Linked DNA regions of Lepisosteus oculatus. The protein of the gene in region 1 interacts with the protein of each later gene in a biochemical or structural test. Links are inferred from orthologs where the notes say so. Each region holds a gene or a part of one and is shown in the gene's direction. Other genes may lie near its edges. The genes, in order: ube2b, ubr1 and rnf20.

Region 1 (7,063 bases):
TAAAGATCATTACTCTTATGTCAAGGACATAAAATTGCTAGACATATGATGACCCATGGAAAGCCATATTTCACTTTTCTCTTTTGTCTGCTTCATCTTTTAAGTTTATACCACTATTAGACAGTGATCTAGAAGCATTTTTTTATGTACAGTAAACATGGATCTATATGGGGTACTGGGTTTGTGCAAATACAGATACCTTATGTCAGAGATATATAAGCAATAAAGCAGATATCACAAAAGGTAGATATAGGTTCTTATGGAAATTAAGAAATGTGGGTTCCTTTCAGGGCTGTAAACTGAATGTGAATCTAATTCTGAGGGTACAAATTCATAAAATAAACAGCCCCCCTCCTTTCCTTCTCCCACCCCAAAAATGGGAGAAAACAAAGGGGTTGGGTTTCTTATCACAATACATGAGATAATATTATTTAGTTCTCAGTAGTTTCTCCTTACCCTTAAGAATTTGATTTCTCTTGTGATTATCTTCTTCATAGTCGTGTCTTCTTCTGTGTCGGTGAATTTCTTGATGGCGACAATGTGGCCTGTTTCCTTATGCTTGCACTTCATGACCAATCCATAGCTTCCCTCTCCCACAATCCCAAGATTCTCATACATATCCATCATACCGGAGCATGGGCTGTGTATCACAACTATGCACAACAACAGAGCAAATGGTATTGTCTCCTAAAAAAGAGCACAGACATTCTTCTTTGCACTGCAGATACTTCAGAGAAAAATAAAATCGCATATCTTACTACTTACCTACTCTTCAGCAATGAAATAAAATAGCAGTACAAACAATGCCCTTCAGCGTATTCTTCTTTTTCTGCTTATTTTATTTTCACAGATCACTTTTATTCCTGGTTGCATTTTTTTCTATATATGTTTTGGAAAACTCCTCATTATTTAGCTTCATCTTGTAAACTGGAATACAATTACTATTATAACGCACCTCTCCTGACAGGTTATTTGGGCACATGAAACAATTTACAGAAATCTGAAAAGTTAAGAATTAGAAGTGAAGTTACCATGACAACAAACCAAACAGTCACAATAGAGAAAAAACATTCTGGAATACTACAGTAAAAGGAAGAACAGAGCACAAACTGAAGATAAAATGTTGATAGTAGCATTCTTTCAATTTATACATTTGTGTACATTGTAAGGAACAAAAAGAGGTTAATTCTACACTGAAAAGAAGTAAGAGAAGAATGCTTCAGTCTTTTCCAGAACTGTCAAAAAGCTGAAACATTGTTTTTTTAATTTATTTTTTTGTATTTTGGGGGGCATAATTAACCTTTCTTTGTACCTTATTAGCTTGCAGGCTAACACATCTCCCTTAATCAACATTTAAGTTAATATATCCATATATATTGAATTCTTAATTCAACAAGTCAAAATTAGATATTTATGCAGTGTTTGCAATACTATCAGACGTAGGTCTTTCAGACTTTTTTAAGTCTGTTTTAAGTATATACAATACAAAAATCTAATTTCTTGTGAGGATTTTGACCTAATCGGGAATAAATATACTGTACACAGTAGATTTATTTACTGAACTGTTTTATCATTCAAATACAGTGGATTACAAGAGTACATTTGCTCTTTTTTTAATTTAAATCAATCCAAAGGAGCTGTGTTAATACAAAATTCATCTGAGAGGAATGAGAAAGAGCTACAGCAATGCTGAGTCAAGACTGTTGGCACACAAAGTGATGGGGAAAAGCATAACACTGGCACTACACAGAAAAATATATACACTAGATATAAAAATATCAACCGACAGAAGAGACTAGGGACCGCTGCCACACTGGACAGGCCCAGGCTTTCAGTTACCATCCACGTCCCATTTGGCATGGCTTGTCATTACTGGACACCTTAATTAATTAATCAATTAATCAATCAATCAATCAATTATTAATAATAATAATGTTTACACTAATATAGCGCTTTTCTGGACACTCCACTCAAAGAGCTTTACAGGTGATGGGGACTCCCCTCCACCACAACCAATGTGCAGCATCCACCTGGATGATGCCAGAACACTCACCACACATCAGCTATCAGTGGGGAGGAGAGCAGAGTAATGAAGCCAATTCATTAATGGAGATTATTAGGAGGCCATGATTGGTAATGGCCAATGGGAAATTCGGCCAGGACACCGGGGTTACTTCCATAATCTTTTCGAGAAACGTCCTGGGATTTTTAATGACCACAGAGAATCAAGACCTTGGTTTTACGTCTCTTCCGAAGGACGGTGCCTGTTCACAGTCTAGTGTTCCCATCACTATACTGGGGCATTAAGACCCACATGGACTGCAGGGTGAGTGACCCCAGCTGGCCCCACTAACACCTCTTCGAGCAGCAACCTTAGTTTTTCCCAGGAGGTCTCCCATCCAGGTACCTGCTTAGCTTCAGTGGGTAAATAATAATAATTAATAATGATCATGCCACTGCTGATATTATAATGTGTCTTATCTATACAGGGATTACCTTTTAACTTCCCAGGCTGCTGGGAAAAAATGTGAAATGGAAAACCTTAAAATCCAAAGTATGAATAAAAATCTTCTGCAGCCCATTGACAGTTTCCTCTGGTAGCCCATGTGCTGCAAACAATATAAGCAGTTTCTCTGCCATCCAAATGTTGGTAGTGTAAGCCATGGGCACAACCTCAGGCCACCTAGAGTTTGTGTGCAACTGCGTACATTGATCTCTCTTTTCTTGCAAAGCCCAAATTTAACTGCTGCAGGGGCCTGACTGCTGCCTTCCACCGCAGAAGCAGCAGTTTACCAGGCAACTGTCTGTTTTGGCCAATGACATCTGCAAATAAAAGGTCCAGCTTCAGGACCTTGTATTTGAAGGCCACATCCTCTGCAACACCCATTAATCAAACAATTCCTGTGTATAGACTTTCAAGACACAATTTACAGGTTCCAGTTTAACTCTCTTAAAGTTATTTTCAGAACACCTGCCTAGAAACTGTACTCATACTCTGATGGGAAGAAAACAACATGATCTATGCTGGACCAACACTGGGTGTTTCAAGTTATTTTACTCATCAGTTTCACATTGTTCCATGTACAGTATGTGAGCCTATGATATATACACACATATTCTGTATGCGAACGTATATTAGAAGAAAACAATTTATGTTGATGGAAGTCTGGTCACGTTAATAGAACCCTTTAATTACCCCACTTCCAAATAGTAACTGAAACCTTAACTGCACTTCACAAATTGATCGAAGTTATTCCAATTTTATTCTCCATGATCTCAACATGTAACACCATTTGGACTTAACCTTTATTGTGAAGCACTTTTTTCAGTTTACTAAATATTTGCCATGCACAATTTGCTCAATATACCAAGCATACTGTAGGATATGCGAAATTAAACCAAATAATCTACTTTCCATTAATGGCCATAATGATTACCTACCAAACACCGCTGTTATGGAAAAAGGCATTTCGTTTTTTGGCCTGGTATGAAGGAGCAAAACGCACAAGAGGTGAAATTAGCTCAAAAATATACCGGCTCGGCTTTGGCTTTATGGTTGAAAAATTCTGAATTATATAAATGTAAACATTTATATATCTTATACATGATATCAAATGAAGTCACAAAAAAGACAGACTGCGCTCACCTAAGCCCTACCTCCAAAACACACATCACTTCTAATGCCACTGAGCCAACTGCTACAGCGTCTTATTTCTGTGGAAGCCGCACCAACTCTTCATTCTGGAGAGGGGTGGTGCGTAAAATTGAAAAATGTATGTATAAGCCCCACTAACGTAAACAGAATAAAGAGGACACAGTTCTAAAGGCTTTTTCTGATTAATAACAATTAATTCGCATTTATCTAAAATGAACCGTTCACCTTTCACTTTGTAGATAAAATTAAAATTGGACTATTCCAATCGGTCGATTCGTCACCTTTTATTTTATGGGAGGTCTATGACGTCACCCTAGTTGTTTGGAAGGAGCAAAAAAAGGCACAAGAGGTGAAATTAGCTCAAAAATATACCGGCTCGGCTTTGGTTTTATGGTTAAAAATTTCTGAATTTGTCATTTTGAACCATGTCTACCCCGGCCCGGAGGCGACTTATGAGAGATTTTAAAAGGTGAGCTCCATTTTTCTGAGCATTGTTTTTTTTTTTTCCATTGCCCAACAGTAATATTCAGTACGGCAGTGCTAGGCCTGTGCTTTTAGGTATTCAAGTTTCGACTGCCTGGTCGATATCTGCGGTGCATCGGTGCTTTTCTTGAAGGTGAACATATTTTTGGTGTGGGGGACTAATTAAAGCGAGTTGTCTTTCAAACCACTCTTTCGGCTTTCTTTGCAAAAAGGTTCCTTTTCGAGAACCGTGCCTGAATTTCTCACACGAGAGAATGCATATCCTTTTTTCTTTTCACGCTTTTTTCCCCCAGTAAACACAATACAAAAATTCAGCGGCGATTGTATATTTCCAAATTCACTGGTAATGCTGAGCTAATGTGATATCACCCCTCGATTGTGTCAAATGACTATATAAAGGAGAATAGCTCGCACAATGACAGCAGGACGCTGTTGGAAATTCATTTTCACTATTACTAGATTTTAAACGACACCAATAGACAGTAGATTCACCTTTTCAGGTTAAGTACAGGTCACATGTTTTTTAGTTGGGATCTTTTTCTTCCTGAAACCCAGAAACTGGCCGGTGCCCTATAATTCCTTGGTGGACAGGGGCAGACGGGCTGGGTTTGGTTAAGAAGTCGGTACTCGCAGTAGAGAGGATGTGTCCCTTTAATGTTATGTAACGGTCTTTTGGTGAAATGTTTGGTGTGGCCATCCCCTAGGATGTGTTGTGATTCCAGGAGTCTGGGTATTGTTCTTCAGGAGAAATTGAAGTTTTCCGTAAGCTGTAGGGAGGCCGTCTCTGAGCCTCTTATTTTATTATGGTTCTGGATAACGACGCCCAAACGTAGCCGATACAGTCTAACTAGATTTTATACTGTAATTACAATATTATTAATAATGCTACAGGTTATCATTGTAAAAATATCAAAAGCTGAATTTCGGGGCAGAAAACCCTCCTATCTCCTGTAACATCATTGTACCGTCTTCTCTGTTGGTAATATTTGTCTTCCTTGGTGTATTGTTGCATTTGTAAAGCAAATTTCACCCAGAGCATAATAAAGCTTGAATTGAATTCATGGTACATAGTACTTGGGGGGAAAAAATGGAAACTTTTCTAGTCCCTCTTTCTTTCTGGGTACCACTAGCTGAGAACTAAGGGATGTTGTAACTTGTCAGGTGAGTTTGTGGTATCACACTTGGTGTTGAATTTTGGGTCCTTCCTTTTCAATATATATATCCATTAACTGAAGGTACCTTTTATAGAATTGGATAACTGCTTTTCTTTTGGAAAACAACTTGCTGCTGGTTTTCAAAATCCAATTTTCCTTATTGTGGGGTGAAAAAAATATATTAATTTAATTTCAATGCAATTATTGGACTAGATATAAGCAATAAATAAAAACAGGGCTCTATGTTTTTGCAGCATTTTTACACAAATGTAACCTTTTCATAGTGTAACAGAAGAGCATTGCTGTTCTTCCTGGACCCTAAAATGCCATTTGGGAAACACATCTCCCCTTAAAACAACTGTATGTGCTGATGACATTTTTTCATTGGAATCTCTCAATCCACTCAGTTAAAAGCAGGCTTTACATCTTGGAGAAGAATATTTGCTGGTTAACATTTATATATGCCTGATATAATAGTGTATCGCAAAGCCTGAAGGTACAACATTTATGTTTTACAAGAAACACTTCATCTTTGACAGTGTTATGCAGCTGAATGTACCTTTGCAGACTAATGCATCATCTTTTCCTTCAGAAAACAATTTGATGAATCTGATGCTAGTTTTTTTAAATCCAGTTTCCCTGTTGTGGGTGGTTGTTGTTTGTTTTTTATTTAATTTCTTCTGTGATGGGAATTGAGCCCATCTTGAAGTAGGATAATCCCTGGGGCTGGGGCAGCAGTGGCACTGTCTGACAGTGCAGTCAGGAGCAGTGAGGCATGACCTGCATCAACCTTCTGTCATCACAGCAGACAGATGAAGGGCTCACGTGTGGAAGCCTGTACTTGAGACTGAGCTCTTTTTGTTTGCTAAGAGCAGCGCTAGACACCTGTTTGAGGTGCAGGTGGTTTGGAAACCTTACAAGAACAGACTCAAGGCGGCTGCTGTTAAGATGTAATCATTCGTGTCCCTTGAAGCTGGGGTATCAGATATTGGAAAGTGATCATAGTCATGCACTGGGATGACAGGCAGACATCTGCAGAACAGGAGCCTAAAGCCACAGGTTATTCGGATTATCACCAAATGTTTTTAACATTGTCATTACTTTCTGGTGCATCGGTCTCTGGTGGATGTGTTGTTTTGAGCTTTGGTAATATACTTAACACTTCTAATAAGATTAAACTGCTAGGGAATAGAATCTGCCACCTTTATCTTAAACAGGACCAGAACCAGCAAGCATTTTAATTCTTTTTTACTGGCAAAATAGAGCTTATACAGTACAGTTTTGTCTTAAGGTAACTCTAGACTGAATAATCCAGGCTCTGCAAGAAGGTTAAGATTAAAGAGAGCCATCCATTACTGAGACCTGTTTCCTGTTCTATACCTGCATTAAGGTAAACATGTGCCTTATAACAAGTCCTTTTAAAAAAAACCTTCAAGGCTTTTTCTAGGCTGGTCAGATTTGGAGCTTGTTTTCTATAATATTACTAAATCCTAAAAGTACATTTTCACCTACAGTATAAAACTCTATTATTTATGTCTTAAAAGGCTTCAAGAAGATCCTCCTGCTGGAGTCAGTGGTGCCCCATCAGAAAATAACATCATGCTGTGGAATGCAGTGATATTTGGGTGAGATTTAATAACCGTAATATTCTACTGGGCTTCCCATACTTTAGTAGAAAGCCAGATGGAAGCAGGTGTGATTTAAGTATTTGGTCTGTTACATTATATTGCAGCTTGGTTCAAAACTAATCTTATGAGTTGGGAGTATTTGC
Region 2 (7,563 bases), on another chromosome or scaffold:
GCTTATATTTATAATTCAGCTTATATATCATTTATATTATTTCAGCTTAAAATAATATTCCTTTTCTGTCTACAGTCTACACAGTTACCTTTAATTTAATAATGTTCTATGAAAGACACAAGAACTGCATGAAGTTACCTGTCAAATGAATAAATTAAGAATAAGAATAAATCCTGAAAATCCACCGGTTCTAATATTTAGTTTACATTTGAGTTTTTTTTTAAACTGTGCAACTTTATAAAACTCACTTGAATTGAAAAGAAGCCACTGTCATCCATGTTTCCAGATGGTTGCTGTGAGAACAGGAAAAAGACAAAGCTAGATACATGTTGTCATCAGTAAGTACTAGAGGAGTCCTAAAACAGTAGAAGTATAAGCTAGCACCTGAAATAGAAGGGATAGTCACATCTCCTTTTACAGAAGGAGAAATGCCAATCACTCATAGGCATCAGGAGAGGTGAGACCATAGTCAATGCTTGTGATGCAGGCCATTCTGTTCCACTCCTCTAAAGACATGTGTAAATCATTCTAAAACCAAGGTATTGAATACGAAAAAGCAGACAAGCACAAACTCTTAAAGGAACAAGTAATAGGTTTATTCCATGCTGAAAAAAAGAAGAAAGAGAACACAACGTTTCGGCCGTGGAGCCTTCTTCAGGTGTCACACCTGAAGAAGGCTCCACGGCCGAAACGTTGTGTTCTCTTTCTTCTTTTTTTCAGCATGGAATAAACCTATTACTTGTTCCTTTGCAGCCTACGCGTGCTGACGCAGCTACCCACCTGAACTACAAACTCTTAAATATTTAAATGTAGTCCAGGTAGAAGTAGTTCCCCTAAAGATACTTAGAGTGCAAAGCAAATATGCCCTAGGAACTAAACTGCCTATTAATGACCCGAGCTGTGCACCACAGGACTCTGTAAACACCTGGCGATTATTATTGTTAATATGCATGACAATGGGTCTGGTCTATATTTTGCTTGTACTGCAAGCAACGGGCTATAATTGATAACTTAATAAGGAATGCTGAGCTCACATCCATCCATTTTCTAACCATTATCCTGTTCAGGATCAAGGGAAACTGGTCAAGACACCAGTCTACTGCAGGACACACACAGAAAAAAACACAAACATGCACACACAAACACCAGGGCCAACTTTCCCACAAGCCAATTCACCTAGCACTATATCTTTGGACTGTGGGAGGAAACTGGAGCACCTGGAGGAAACTCACACGAACACAGGAAGAACATACAAACTCCAGCGTGCCACCCTCCAAGCTCACATTATGAATTAAATTGTTCATGAAGAATTTGGAGAGGAAGGACACATATGTGCAGTGTCCCAGAAAGCAGTATCTCAGTTACAATCAGTGAGACAAAAAAGTACACCCACTGTGTGGCCATCAGAATATTTGCCCACAATATCTGTTAATATTCAAACAGAGCTCCTAGTGGCCTTAAGAATCAGTTCAAGGGATTGCTCAGATTGCTCACAGGGTCTCTAGAGACAGAGGAAAACCAACTGTTCAATCTATCACCATAACAGTGCAACATTTTCAATCTAACACAGCTCACCTGATCTGATAGAACTGAGTTAACCTGTTGCCCTACAGTTCAGTTCATTGTTTCAGAATTAATGGTAACATTACTTATAACAGTTGTAGGGTCCTGCTTGATTTTGCTCAGATTGCTGGAATTGGAAGACAAAAGTCTTGAAAAGGGCTCTCCTGCCCCCCCCCATAAATGGCCAAGCCCCAGTGCTGTTACCTGCAGAAAGGTCCTATACTCCTCGCTAGTGACTCCTCCTTCTGCCATTCTAATCCGCTCCTCTTCGTCCAGTTGCTGTGCGATGGAGGACAGCTCGACAGGGCTGAAATACTCCCCCTGGAGTAGGTTATTCAGACAATGCTGGGCGCAAAGGGAGCCCTCTTGCTATGACAGAGAGTACAACAGTCAACTCAAAATAAGGAGTTCACTTTTTAAGCAACCAAACAACACGATTTTAGACAGCCACACCCTGCAATCAATGATAATACAAAGACATCTTACACACATGATTACATCTACAATATGGAAATTAAAGAAGGCAAACTGTACTTAAAAAAATGTATATGAATTATATGAAAAAGTGGTGGAAGCTGATCGATACCTACTGCATATGCAAAACTAACCAAACCAGACTCAGTTATACATCGAGGAATTTCCCAGATAACTTTAAACACGTTTATACATGTACGTTGCTCCAGTGAAGTTTGCCAAAGCAGAAACAGTAGTCTTTTAAAGAACATAAACATTGGAGGTTTCACTAGTTAAAAGAGGAAAATGCAGAAGAATTTTAAAGTTTCATTCATTCGTTTTATTAAAATCACGGTTTGAGGTAGCCAGACAAACCACACACTAATATATTTAAATCCCCCCGAATCGGATTAAATGTTTCAAAACGACTTACTTTCTCGTGAAAAATGGAATCCATATTTGATCCTTCTGTTGACTAACATACTTTGAACCTTGACCTTCCGGGGGATGGGTCATGCAAACGCGGCCTATCAGTAAATCGTTCGTCATGTGACAACAGTTCGGTAGGTGGGTCTTCTAGCGGAAGTATGAGGACCTTTTTGTCTTTTTTTTTTTAAAGTCTGAGAAACTCTCGGGAAAGTTAAGTATTTCTGACATCAAATTATATATATTTACTTAATGTAGGGGCGACTTGTATTCAGAAACATTTAAAAATAATAAGAAGTTTAATAAAAAATGCAAAGATACTTCTAGACAAAAACAATATAACAAACATAAGTAATAAAATAATCAAATTTATTCCGGCAACAAACTGCCAAAGATATCAAGTAAATAAAAAATGTTTTGTAACAGGTTCTATCATATGCATTCATTATTTAATAATGAAATTATTAAGACGTAGTCATCTTTATTAAATGTTGATTAATATGTATTATCAGCAGAGGCTCTTTTGTGAAAATCCCAGGCAGAAGTGTGTGGCCACGTTTGGAAGCTATATAAGGTGTACTTCTGAGAAGCCTGATTGGCACCAGGTTGCAGGTGTCTTGTGGGGTTCCTCTAGTAGAGCCTGGATAAGCATGAGCCTGTTCAATGGTTTCTGAGCCTTAAAAGCCTCTTCTTGTCCCAATTCATCCAGCAAATGTTTAAGGGGGCTCAAGTCTGGCAAGTAGGACATTCAGAATTGCGCTATTAGTCATTGTGATCTCTGAAAGGCAATATTACCCCAGAAAAAGGAGTGTGTGTGTGTGTTGTCCTGCTGGCATGTCGCTGGATGGTTTGATAAAATTACCTCATCATTATGCTTTTCTGTGTCACAGTAGCTGATGTGCCACTTCTGGATTCCAACATATATTTAATGTTGGATGTTCACTTAATAAGCAACAAGTCTGGCAAGTGATGTATTCAATATGACCTTTGAGGCTTTAAATAATCTGGCTCCTTCATGCATCTCTGAATGGCTTTATGTTTACACTCCTTCTCATACAGTCTTTTCAGTCGAGATCTTTTGCTCACTAAACCCGGGACTTAATATCACACTTTTGGTGACAGTGCTTTTTCTTACTCCATTGTTATGGAATGTCATTTCTTGTCAAGAGACACATTCTCTGTCTGTTTCAAATCTAAGCGTAAAATGCACTACTAGGGCCTATGAATAATTTCCTTGGGTTTGGAAAGGTGCTTTGTAAATTAACGTTGTTGTTACATGTATTATTATTTTTATTACTGATTTTCACCAGGTGAATTTGAATTAATCAAAATGATTAAAAAATAATAACAATTGCTTACATTTATATAGCGCTTTTCTTTACACTCCACTGAAAGCGCTTTACAGGTAATGGGGACTCCCCTCCACCACCACCAATGTGCAGCCCCACCCTGGATGATGTGACAGCAGCCATAGTACACCAGAACACTCATCACACTCCAGCTATCAGTGGGAGGAGAACAGAGTGATGAAGCCAATTCATAGATGGGGAATATTAGGAGGCCAATGGGACATTTGGGGTAACACCCCTACTCTTTTTGAGAAACACCCTGGGATTTTTAATAACCATAGAGAGTCAGGACCTCAGTTTTACGTCTTATCCGAAGGACGGTGCCTTTTTACAGTATAGTGTCCCCGTCACTATACTTAGACATTAGGACTCACATAGACCGCAGGGTGAGCGCCCCACTAACACCTCTTCCAGCACCAACCTTAGTTTTTCACAGGAGGTCTCACATCCAGGTAGTGACCAGGCTCACACCTGCTTAGCTTCAATGGGTTGCCAGTTGTGAGTTGCAAGATGATATGGCTGCTGGCAGTAAGAAAATAAACATTTAATCAACATCCAAAATCAGTATACTTCATTTTTTTTAATGACAAACATGCACAGTAATAGGCTTCTTTCGGTACTCAATATAGTTTCAGTTGTAGTAAGGTGAGATTTATGAAGTCTGTACCTTTCTACTTTTCTATTCCAGTACATGTCTCTAGAGAGCCTTAGGAGTATTACAGGCACTGGTATGTGTGCATGTTGCGTACAACCATGCCGTGTAAAGACAGATACTGTCGCTTGCCACAATGTCGTAAAGCAGTTTTGGGACCTGTCTCACACGTTGTCCTGGTAACAGATTACGGCAGATGAAAGATGGCGGAAGGTGAAGAGACATTAACAAAACGAGAGCTCAGTATGGTGAGTATATTTAATTTTATTTTGGTAATTTTCTACGTTTACTTATTGCGTATATTTCTTTTCTTCGATTTGTATACTACTTCGATACTAGCTTTTTTCTTTTCTACAAATACTATTCTTCTTACCTGGGGTTGAATTTTGGTTAGATTTCTTGAAGGAATTATAGCAAACTGCTGCAATTTAATTTTTCTTTTAAGATCTCAGTACAGGATTGGAAACAATAGATGACAGTGGATATGTATTTAATTCACAATGCATTGCTTTTCAAATAAAAGTGCAAGAGTGACACTGCCTGATCTCACTAGTTTAAAATCGACCTGAATCTTGGGTTTTATTGGTTTTTCAAGAGACTCAACAAGAGCTGCTTGTAGTTAATAACATTGAATAATATGGTAGTGATACTTGAAAGATCAATAGTATTCTGTTTGGAAAGGGACGGAAGTTTGTGGTTAAGTACGCTCATAGAAGATCGACATTTTAAAAATGTATATAACTTTTATTGATTGTTTTTGTTATTCTGTGGATTATAAGAGGAAAAATAGCGTGTGACAGTATTGCAAGTGATATATTTCATTATCATACAATGGAATAAAAACGAAACAATAAAACAGAAAACTTGGCGCTATTCATAAGAAAAATATGACTTTTTTCTTCGTTTTTTTTAAGTAAGCAAATCTTAGTTAAATTTATTGGAAGCATCTCAACATCTTAGAACTAAAACTCGGAAATTATTGTAATCATGAATTGCATGTGCTTTAATTTTTAATACGTAAGTCCCACGTAGACTAGACTTGAGGACTACCAATTAAACACAGAGTTTCACTTTTACTTTGTTTATATCAGTATTGTTTTCTGGATAAATCCAGCTTTACAAGGAAGCACACTTTAAGGACACTTTCTCAGCGTTTCAAAACTGTTGTGAAACATCTTTGAAAACTGACAGTACAAAGGTGAATTTCTGTGACATTTGTAAAATCTAAAGACCTAAATACAGACATACAAAGTTAACTAAACTAAGATTGTTAGTAAATTACTGAATTTACTAAACAGCTTTTTGAACATCATAATTTAGGATATACCTGCAGTGTCTTGGAAAAGTATTCAAGCCCTTTCATTGGTGTTTGATTTTTACCTTTTCATTGATGAAATTACAAAATGATGCCTACCAATTTCTTAAACTTAATATTCAAGATAAAGTAATACAAACAATGAAATAATGCATAAATATTTAGACCCATGAACTTAATATTTGGTGTAAGCATCTTTGGTAGTAATCACAGCCACAAGTGGTTTTGGGTAAGTCTCTTCCAATTTAGCACACCAGCTTTGTGCAATTCCTGCCCATTCTTGGCAGATTTGCTTAAGTTGTCTCATGTTGCTTTTGGATTACTCACAGACAGCAGCCTTGCTATTGATTCCTATTGAGTCAAGAATTCTATCGAGACTTAGACTGGGCTACTCAATATAGGGAATACACTTTCTAATTGCCTTTTTGGCCTTCTACTTTGGTTAATTGTCCTGCTGAAAGATGAATTTTCATCCCAGTTTTATGTCTGAAGCAGGTTTTCCTGTAAGATTTGCCAGTTCTTTGCTCCATCTCAGTTCCTATCGGATAAACTTCACTGTTTCTCTTGATGAGAAGCTATAAGACGATGCTGCCACCATCATGCTTTGCAGTGGGGGTGTTTATTGAGTGGTTCACTATGGGTTTGTGTCAGATGTAACACTGCATTTAGACCTGAAAAGTCAAATTCTGTGTTATCTGACAATAAAACTATTTGTGACATGTTTGCATTACCAGTTAAATATTAAGTTGAAAGGTTCTTGTGGTTTTTTAGATGTTAGTATGTCAATTCCATTCAAGGGTTTGTGGAATAACTGGAATATTGTTAAACTATGGACATTTTCTATCAACTGTCTGGTTGCCTTCACTTCTTAATCAACTTCACCATGCTCAAAGACATATTAAGGGCATATGTAATTTGAAAGACATATCATTTATACCTTTCTTCTGATTAGTGCTTTTGTACAACTTTAGGAGTTGATAACTCCTGGTCTTGATGGTTGGATTTTTCCTTGAAATTCACCACATGACTGAGGTATATTACAGCGTGTATTTATTCTGAAATCATGTGAACAACTTTTACTGTACACAGACTGAGATCTAAGGTAATTTTGTATATCTAAATAAATTAAGTTTGCCACACTAGAAAGGTTTTAAAAGTGATACAATCATTCTTTCATATTATTTACTTATTTTTGTTTTTGTTTTGACTGTGTGTGGAGTAGGTTGAAGAAAAATATATATGGCTGTTTTGTGTGTCATGACAACAAAACTGTGAAGACAATGCAAGTGTCTGAATGCTTTTATGAGACACCATAACCGTGTAAAGTTTTTCAAATCTATACATTAACAATGGCTCTAACTATAGCATTTTTTAGGAAATGCATTATTGATTTAAATTCATTTTGTCACCTTGAATGATTGATTTTAGGTTGATCATGGATCATTTAATGTTTTTGTTTTTCGGTTTTCAAAGTCAGGAATGATTAGGATATCTGCTGAAATATTTGGAACAGTGGAATTTGGGGGAAAAGATTAAAAAGGAAATTAACATATTGGTAAAGATACAAAATTTAAATTAGCCAAGTTTTTACTAGATGAAATCCCCCGTGTAAAAAAACCCCAAACCTCCATTTTTGGCAAAACGTTGATGTCATCAATTTGAGGTGCACAAAATAAACCCTGAGGCACAAGGATTTATACAGGACCTTCAGTGCCTCAGGATACGTTGTTCAACATTTAAAAACAGAAGTCACAGTTGAGTAACAAAGCTGTGGAAAAATGTGCCTTTTCTCTTCTAGATGTGGA
Region 3 (7,334 bases), on another chromosome or scaffold:
TCCCAGTACAGTAGAGCAACCTGCTACAATAGGAGCTACAGTCCCAGTACTGTAGAGCAGTCCTGTTACAATAGGAGCTACAGTCCCAGTACAGTAGAGCAGTCCTGTTAGAACAGGAGTGTTAATGGCCAGCTGCAGCTCCACTCTGTCAGAGTGCAGTGTTCACGCTGGGCTTGGCTGATTTCACTGACTGGGGGAGCAAAGATCAGCACTCTGTGGAACAAACACAGCAGTAAACACACTAGGCTGAATTCAAACCTTGCTATTGTGCTGAATTCCCTCTGTTCTCTCTGTATCTTTCCAGCTCTCTCTATCTCACTATATCTCCAACACATAGTATCTCCTCTCACTCCCTGCCCATCCTGCCCCACAACCCAGACAGAGTACTGCATCATCCTTCCTTACAGCACCATCTCTCAAACTCTCTCTCTCAGTGCAGTGTTAATGTCCTGTAGTGTCCAGTCAGTGTGTCTGGACTGTATTAACCCCTCTCTCTCAGTGCAGTGTTAATGTACTGTAGTGTCCAGTCAGTGTGTCTGGACTGTATTAACCCCTCTCTCTCAGTGCAGTATTAATGTCCTGTAGTGTCCAGTCAGTGTGTCTGGACTGTATTAACCCCTCTCTCTCAGTGCAGTGTTAATGTCCTGTAGTGTCCAGTCAGTGTGTCTGGACTGTATTAACCCCTCTCAGTGCAGTGTTAATGTCCTGTAGTGTCCAGTCAGTGTGTCTGGACTGTATTAACCCCTCTCTCTCAGTGCAGTGTTAATGTCCTGTAGTGTCCAGTCAGTGTGTCTGGACTGTATTAACCCCTCTCAGTGCAGTGTTAATGTCCTGTAGTGTCCAGTCAGTGTGTCTGGACTGTATTAACCCCTCTCTCTCAGTGCAGTGTTAATGTCCTGTAGTGTCCAGTCAGTGTGTCTGGACTGTATTAACCCCTCTCTCTCAGTGCAGTGTTAATGTCCCGTAGTGTCCAGTCAGTGTGTCTGTACTGTATTAACCCCTCTCTCTCAGTGCAGTGTTAATGTCCTGTAGTGTCCAGTCAGTGTGTCTGGACTGTATTAACCCCTCAGTCTCTGTGTGCAGGAAAGGCAGGCAGGCTGTAACAGGGGGTAACAGGTGTAACTGGGAGAAGGAGAGAGATTTGGCCCCAGAAAGATAGATTCCCCTTCACCTGTAAATCCTCTTACGTAAGCCATCCCCACATGGGTAAGGACAGATACTGGGGTGCTCCTAGTGTACCCCAGCTTGGTGGTGCCTGTCCTGTCTCTCAAAGCAGTGTCTGGGCAGACAGCTGGGGTCCCCACGCGCAGGCTCATGTGTGTTGAGTGAAGGGACTGAAACACCGACTGTGCTGTCTGTGTCAGAGCTCATCCCACGTTCCATGGCATCGAGCCCTCAGAGGGCACGTGGTCCCGTCACAGAGCCTTTCCCCAGCAGGGCTGGTCCCCACCTTTCCACTGGGGTACAGCCCCTCCCTCCAGGTACAACTGCAGTGTCCGCAGCAGGAGTTCGAAGCCACAATCCCAGACACCCACCATGCTGCCCTCTGGAACTGGCAAGAGGCAGACAGAATACAGCAGTGCAGTGGAAACAGGAAATACTGGAAACAAGAGGAGCCAAAACAACACGCACATGTCCCAATCAGGCTAGAGCAGCAAGAGGACAACGTTGGTTGTCACTGGTGCCTTTATTGAGGCTGCTCTCTACATGGACGGACAGCACGGGTTTGAAAAGTAAGGCTTTGATTGAATTGTCAGAGCTCCACAAACAAGCACCCAGGACTGAAACTACACTAAATTTCCCTCATGGGGTCAATAAAGTATCTATCATCTATCTAAAGAACACAAGAAGATATATCTTCTTACAGGTGTGAGCAGTGGAGTGTCTCAGGTGACAGGTGTGAGCAGTGGAGTGTCTGATTGGGCAGGTGTGAGCAGTGGAGTGTCTCAGATGTCAGGTGTGAGCAGTGGAGTGTCTCAGGTGACAGGTGTGAGCAGTGGAGTGTTTCATGTGACAGGTGTGAGCAGTAGAGTGTCTGATTGGGCAGGTGTGAGCAGTGGAGTGTCTCAGATGTCAGGTGTGAGCAGTGGAGTGTCTCAGATAACAGGTGTGAGCAGTAGAGTGTCTGATTGGGCAGGTGTGAGCAGTGGAGTGTCTCAGGTGACACGTGTGAGCAGTGGAGTCTCTCAGATGTCAGGTGTGAGCAGTGGAGTGTTTCAGATGTCAGGTGTGAGCAGTGGAGTGTCTCAGATGACAGGTGTGAGCAGTGAAGTGTCTCAGATAACAGGTGTGAGCAGTGCAGTGTCTCAGATAACAGGTGTGAGCAGTAGAGTGTCTGATTGGGCAGGTGTGAGCAGTGGTTGTGAAGATCAGACACACTGCCTGCTATGAATCTGTTCATTTTGACTCAGGGTTCCCAATATTCTGGCCACTGAGTGTACATGTACATGCTGGAAATGTAAATGATATTCCTAGAGTTCTCATTGAGTGATGTTGATAAATGTTGTTTTGTGTCATGTTATTGTACTGTTGTTGCATTGTATTTATGTCGTATATAGTATGTTATATTTTTATGAGCTCTTGATCTGCAAGACAAATTCCCTTAGAGCCAATAAAGATTGATTAACTAAATTATAAATACACAGTTCAGTACAGAAAGAGACAAACATGGCCACATCTCCCTAGACTGAAACACAGACCACAATGAATGTGGTTAAGATTTAACTCCCAGATCTAATCATTCTTACCCAGAAATTGCTCCATGATTCAGTCAGGCAGTGCTATCTTTCCAAGCACTGCAGATAAGAGAAAGTTACACAATGTGAACCCTGACCCACAGCTGAAGTATTAGCTTCCAGAAAGATACCGTGCTGCAGTTTGATGCAGGACTGAATTGATATTAATTTCTCTGTCTATTAAGTAGCTGTCTGGTTATGCAATGAGTTGAAGATTATTATGAGGCGTCAAAGGTATGGTTCTGTATGGAACAGTCCTGGCTTGCCTTTCACTTAGACTCCTCGACAGGGAAGATCAGACCTTCTCTGAGTGTAGCCCAGTGCGCTACAGTGACACACTGAGCACTCCTGTCTGAGTGTAGCCCAGTGCGCTACAGTGACACACTGAGCACTCCTGTCAGAGTGTAGCCCAGTGCGCTACAGTGACACACTGAGCACTCCTGTCAGAGTGTAGCCCAGTGCGCTACAGTGACACACTGAGCACTCCTGTCTGAGTGTAGCCCAGTGCGGTACAGTGACACACTGAGCACTCCTGTCAGAGTGTAGCCCAGTGCGGTACAGTGACACACTGAGCACTCCTGTCAGAGTGTAGCCCAGTGCGCTACAGTGACACACTGAGCACTCCTGTCTGAGTTTAGCCCAGTGCGCTATAGTGACACACTGAGCACTCCTGTCAGAGTGTAGCCCAGTGCGCTATAGTGACACACTGAGCACTCCTGTCAGAGTGTAGCCCAGTGCGCTATAGTGACACACTGAGGATTCACATCAAATAAATATAATTTTCTTCTTGCATCCATTTTCTAAGTACTCCAGTTCAGGGTTGTGGGGGAGTCGGAGTCTATCCCAGTAAGCAGTGGGTGAAAGGCACAGCACACCCTGGATGGGACACCTGTCCATCACAGTGCACACAGAAACACACACACACACCAGGGCCTGTTTTCCCAGAAGCTAATTAACCTGACAGTATGTCTTTGGACTGTGGGAGGAAACCAGCATGAACACAGGGAGAACATATCAACTTCACACAGACAGCACCCCAGGAATTAAATCCATGGTCTTAACAAGGCTAACCGCTTGTGCCACCTGATTTATATCTCCGTTAGTACTACCAATAATAAGAATAATGGAACAAGTCATAGGTTTATTCCAGGCTGAAAAGAGGAGAAAGAAAACACAACGTTTTGGCCGTGGAGCCTTCTTCAGGTGTGAGGGTGTGTGTGTAAGCTCACACCTGAAGAAGCCTCCACGGCCAAAACGTTGGGTTTTCTTTCTCCTCTTTTCAGCATGGATTAAACCTATTACTTGTTCCTTCGCAGCCTAAGCATGCTGACGCAGCTACCCAGCTGAAGTGTAATACTAATAATAATGTCACAGGAGCAGTATTATCAGTTGAGGTGATCCCACAGTAATCGAGGCCCTGCCCAGGCCGATATGACCTCCCACCACCAGGTGGCGCGATACCGTCCCGAGAGCCGCGCACAGCGCCCCGCCAACAAATAAAGCAGGTTGTGGTTTAACTTCCGCTTCCGTAAGCAGGAGACGGGGATAGAGAGGGTGGGAGCTGGAGGTGTACACAAATCTAAAACATGAATCATTGAGACCGGCGTTAAAGGCAAGACTTCGGGAGAACTTTCGGTAAGAAAACGAAGACGCTATGAGTGACTTTAGCGCAGGAGGTGAATGAGAAGATAACGTTAGTGTTGTGTAGTTGCCCTGGTCGTGTAGTGGTGTACGTGTGTGTAAGCTGTGTGTTTGTGTGTTGGGTGTAGCGCTGAGTTTATATCAGCATCTTTCTGTGCTGATATAAAAGATTTTCTGCGTTAGATAGTAAAATTACTAGAGATCACTGCTCTCTCCAGCAGAGAGAAACTACGGGGGCTCATCGGTCTCCCTGTTAGTAAACTTCCCGGGGCTCACCGCTCTCCCTGTTAGTAAAATTACTGGGGCTCCCCGGCTTCTGTCAGAGACAGCGAAATTAATTCTCATCTGTACAAGAGCTTGCAGCAGGTTAACGCTGGAGAGGCGCAGACTGCTGGGCAGTGGGAGTTTGCCTGCCTGTCCTACCTGCAGCCACTTCATGAAATGAGTCTTGAATTGGTTTGCTCAACCAGCTATGCTCAAGACTTTCTTATAATGGAGCATGTCACCAGCTCTGGGGTGTGTAGTCACTCAGGGCGTGTGTGCCCTCCATCAAGAGAGTTTATCTGTCTGAATGTGCAAGGAAGCTGAGTCTCCCTTCATTCGGAGTATTCCTGATCCTGATTCCCAACAGAGACTACTTCAGGCCATCCAGAGGCCAGAAAGCCCTTTTCCAGTCCTGGCTCTGTATCGGCCCTGTCTCTGCGCATCACTCTGATGGTGCTGTGTTCTCTGGCTCTCTGGAGTTTGCAGCTGAGCTTCTTTCACTGGCTCTCCGGGTCTTCACTCGAGCTGAGCTCTCTTGTGCTCTCCGGACACTGGAGCGAGCAGGATGTGGCGTTTGAGCTGCCCTGTGGGGTTTATCGGCTGTTACAGGGACGCAGGTAGATTCTCCAGGAGGCCCCTGGCAGCAGGCAGAGGACTTTAAACAACTTGACACCCCAATGTCTTTAAAACGCCCCACACTAGGGGGCTGATCTGAGACGCCGTCGCAATCAACAGAAACTGAATCGGACGAGTTTCAGAGATTCCCTGAGCTTCTGTGCCGGGAAGAGTGGTTGAGTCCTGAGACTTCAACTCTGCTTTTATTTGTTGCTTCGAGTCTAGGAAGGGGCTTTGCTGGGCCAAGGTGTGGAGAAACCAGGCTTGCCAGGGAGAGCAGTGTGTCTCCTCCTCTGGCTCAGGCGGACAGGCCTGCGGTCGCGTCTGGGCGAGAGGCTGAGAAAGTCTCACGCCTGCAGCACTTCCTGCCCCAGCTGCATCTTGGGAGCGGGCCGGTGCACCGTGGGATACGTGCCGCAGCTTGGCGCCGGCGCCATCTTGACCTGCTCTCTGTCCTAGGCTGGGCCAGCGATGTCGGGGCTGAAGCGCCCTGCTGACCCCCTGACCTCCGGGCCCCCCGAGAAGCGGCGGGAGCGAGAGAGGGAGGGGGAGAGGGAGGCGGAGGACGGGGGAGCTGCGGGCGGCAGCACCGCTGTGGAGACGGTCATCAAGCTGGGGGGAGTGTCCAACACTGTGAGTCCCACCCCCTGTCCAACATCAGGCCATCACCCTGGCTCTGTCAGCTGTCCATACACTGTCTCCTACCAGACTGATATTGTGAAGACGTCTTGTTACACATTTCTCTCAGTGCAGTATTAGTGTCCTGGAGTGTCCAGTCAGTGTGTCTGGACTGTATTAACCTCTCTCTCTCTCAGTGCAGTGTTAATGTACTGGAGTGTCCAGTCAGTGTGTCTGGACTGTATTAACCCCTCTCTCTCAGTGCAGTGTTAATGTCCTGTAGTGTCCAGTCAGTGTGTCTGGACTGTATTAACCCCTCTCTCTCAGTGCAGTGTTAATGTCCTGTAGTGTCCAGTCAGTGTGTTTGGACTGTATTAACCCCTCTCTCTCAGTGCAGTGTTAATGTCCTGTAGTGTCCAGTCAGTGTGTCTGGACTATATTAACCCCTCTCTCTCAGTGCAGTGTTAATGTACTGGAGTGTCCAGTCAGTGTGTCTGGACTGTATTAACCCCTCTCTCTCAGTGCAGTGTTAATGTCCTGTAGTGTCCAGTCAGTGTGTCTGTACTGTATTAACCCCTCTCTCTCAGTGCAGTGTTAATGTACTGGAGTGTCCAGTCAGTGTGTCTGGACTGTATTAACCCCTCTCTCTCTCAGTGCAGTGTTAATGTCCTGTAGTGTCCAGTCAGTGTGTCTGGACTGTATTAACCCCTCTCTCTCAGTGCAGTGTTAATGTCCTGTAGTGTCCAATCAGTGTGTCTGGACTGTATTAACCCCTCTCTCTCAGTGCAGTGTTAATGTCCTGTAGTGTCCAGTCAGTGTGTCTGGACTGTATTAACCCCTCTCTCTCTCAGGAGGAGCAGGATATCCGAGCTCTCCAGGTTAAGAACAGGAAGCTGGGAGAGGCTCTTGACCAGAGGCAGGTGATTGAGGATGAGCTGCGAGATCGAGCTGAGAGGCTGGAGAGACGGCAAGCAACTGATGATGCCAGTCTGCTCATCCTGAACCGCTACTGGAACCAGGTAATGCTCCACGCTGCTCAGGGCGTGCCCTGACGCCGGTCCATCGGCAGGTGCTGCTCACACACCACTGTGGCTATGAGAGGCTCAGTTTCCAGCAGCTGGAAAAGATGCCCGTGATGCTCAGGTGTGGCCATGCTACACTTGGAATGCTGGGGCCTTTTGTGGTTTCTGCTCAATATTTAATAACGATTCTGGACTTTATATCCTGCGTGTGGCTTATGTTTGCATTAATGTTTGCCAATGCAGATGAAGCAGATGGTCTAGACAGTCCTCATGATATGCGCGCTATCCATCTGTGTATCCTTTTGTGTATATCGCGCTGTGTATATCGCGCCCAGCCTCTGGATACGAGTGTGCCTGCGGTTGGACCTGTTGGTACGTTCAGTGCGCCTGTATTGACCTGCCACTCTCCCGCCCCCCCCCCCTCAGTTCGACGAGAACG

Evidence for each region.
Region 2: the proteins of ube2b (region 1) and ubr1 form a complex in vitro, tested with the Homo sapiens proteins (2 studies listed by BioGRID and IntAct, with this or other methods). The link is inferred for Lepisosteus oculatus from reciprocal best matches to the Homo sapiens genes UBE2B and UBR1.
Region 3: the proteins of ube2b (region 1) and rnf20 form a complex in vitro, tested with the Homo sapiens proteins (4 studies listed by BioGRID, with this or other methods). The link is inferred for Lepisosteus oculatus from reciprocal best matches to the Homo sapiens genes UBE2B and RNF20.

Annotation. Positions count from the first base shown.
Region 1 is NC_090706.1:23,899,167-23,906,229, reverse strand, and holds the start of ube2b (ubiquitin-conjugating enzyme E2 B), read left to right. Parts: upstream 1-3,962; 5' UTR 3,963-4,080; coding exon 4,081-4,124; intron 4,125-6,836; coding exon 6,837-6,917; intron 6,918-7,063. Other genes in the region: cyclin-dependent kinase-like 4, read right to left, coding at 457-653, 3,442-3,469. UniProt on the Homo sapiens protein: E2 ubiquitin-conjugating enzyme that accepts ubiquitin from the ubiquitin-activating enzyme E1 and transfers it to a E3 ubiquitin-protein ligase. In vitro catalyzes 'Lys-11'-, as well as 'Lys-48'- and 'Lys-63'-linked polyubiquitination.
Region 2 is NC_090703.1:18,756,767-18,764,329, reverse strand, and holds the start of ubr1 (E3 ubiquitin-protein ligase UBR1), read left to right. Parts: upstream 1-4,536; 5' UTR 4,537-4,646; coding exon 4,647-4,691; intron 4,692-7,556; coding exon 7,557-7,563. Other genes in the region: atxn3 (ataxin-3), read right to left, coding at 249-293, 1,768-1,932, 2,450-2,473. UniProt on the Homo sapiens protein: E3 ubiquitin-protein ligase which is a component of the N-end rule pathway. Recognizes and binds proteins bearing specific N-terminal residues that are destabilizing according to the N-end rule, leading to their ubiquitination and subsequent degradation.
Region 3 is NC_090701.1:42,019,841-42,027,174, forward strand, and holds the start of rnf20 (E3 ubiquitin-protein ligase BRE1A), read left to right. Parts: upstream 1-4,264; 5' UTR 4,265-4,370; intron 4,371-5,714; 5' UTR 5,715-5,726; coding exon 5,727-5,888; intron 5,889-6,724; coding exon 6,725-6,892; intron 6,893-7,321; coding exon 7,322-7,334. UniProt on the Homo sapiens protein: Component of the RNF20/40 E3 ubiquitin-protein ligase complex that mediates monoubiquitination of 'Lys-120' of histone H2B (H2BK120ub1).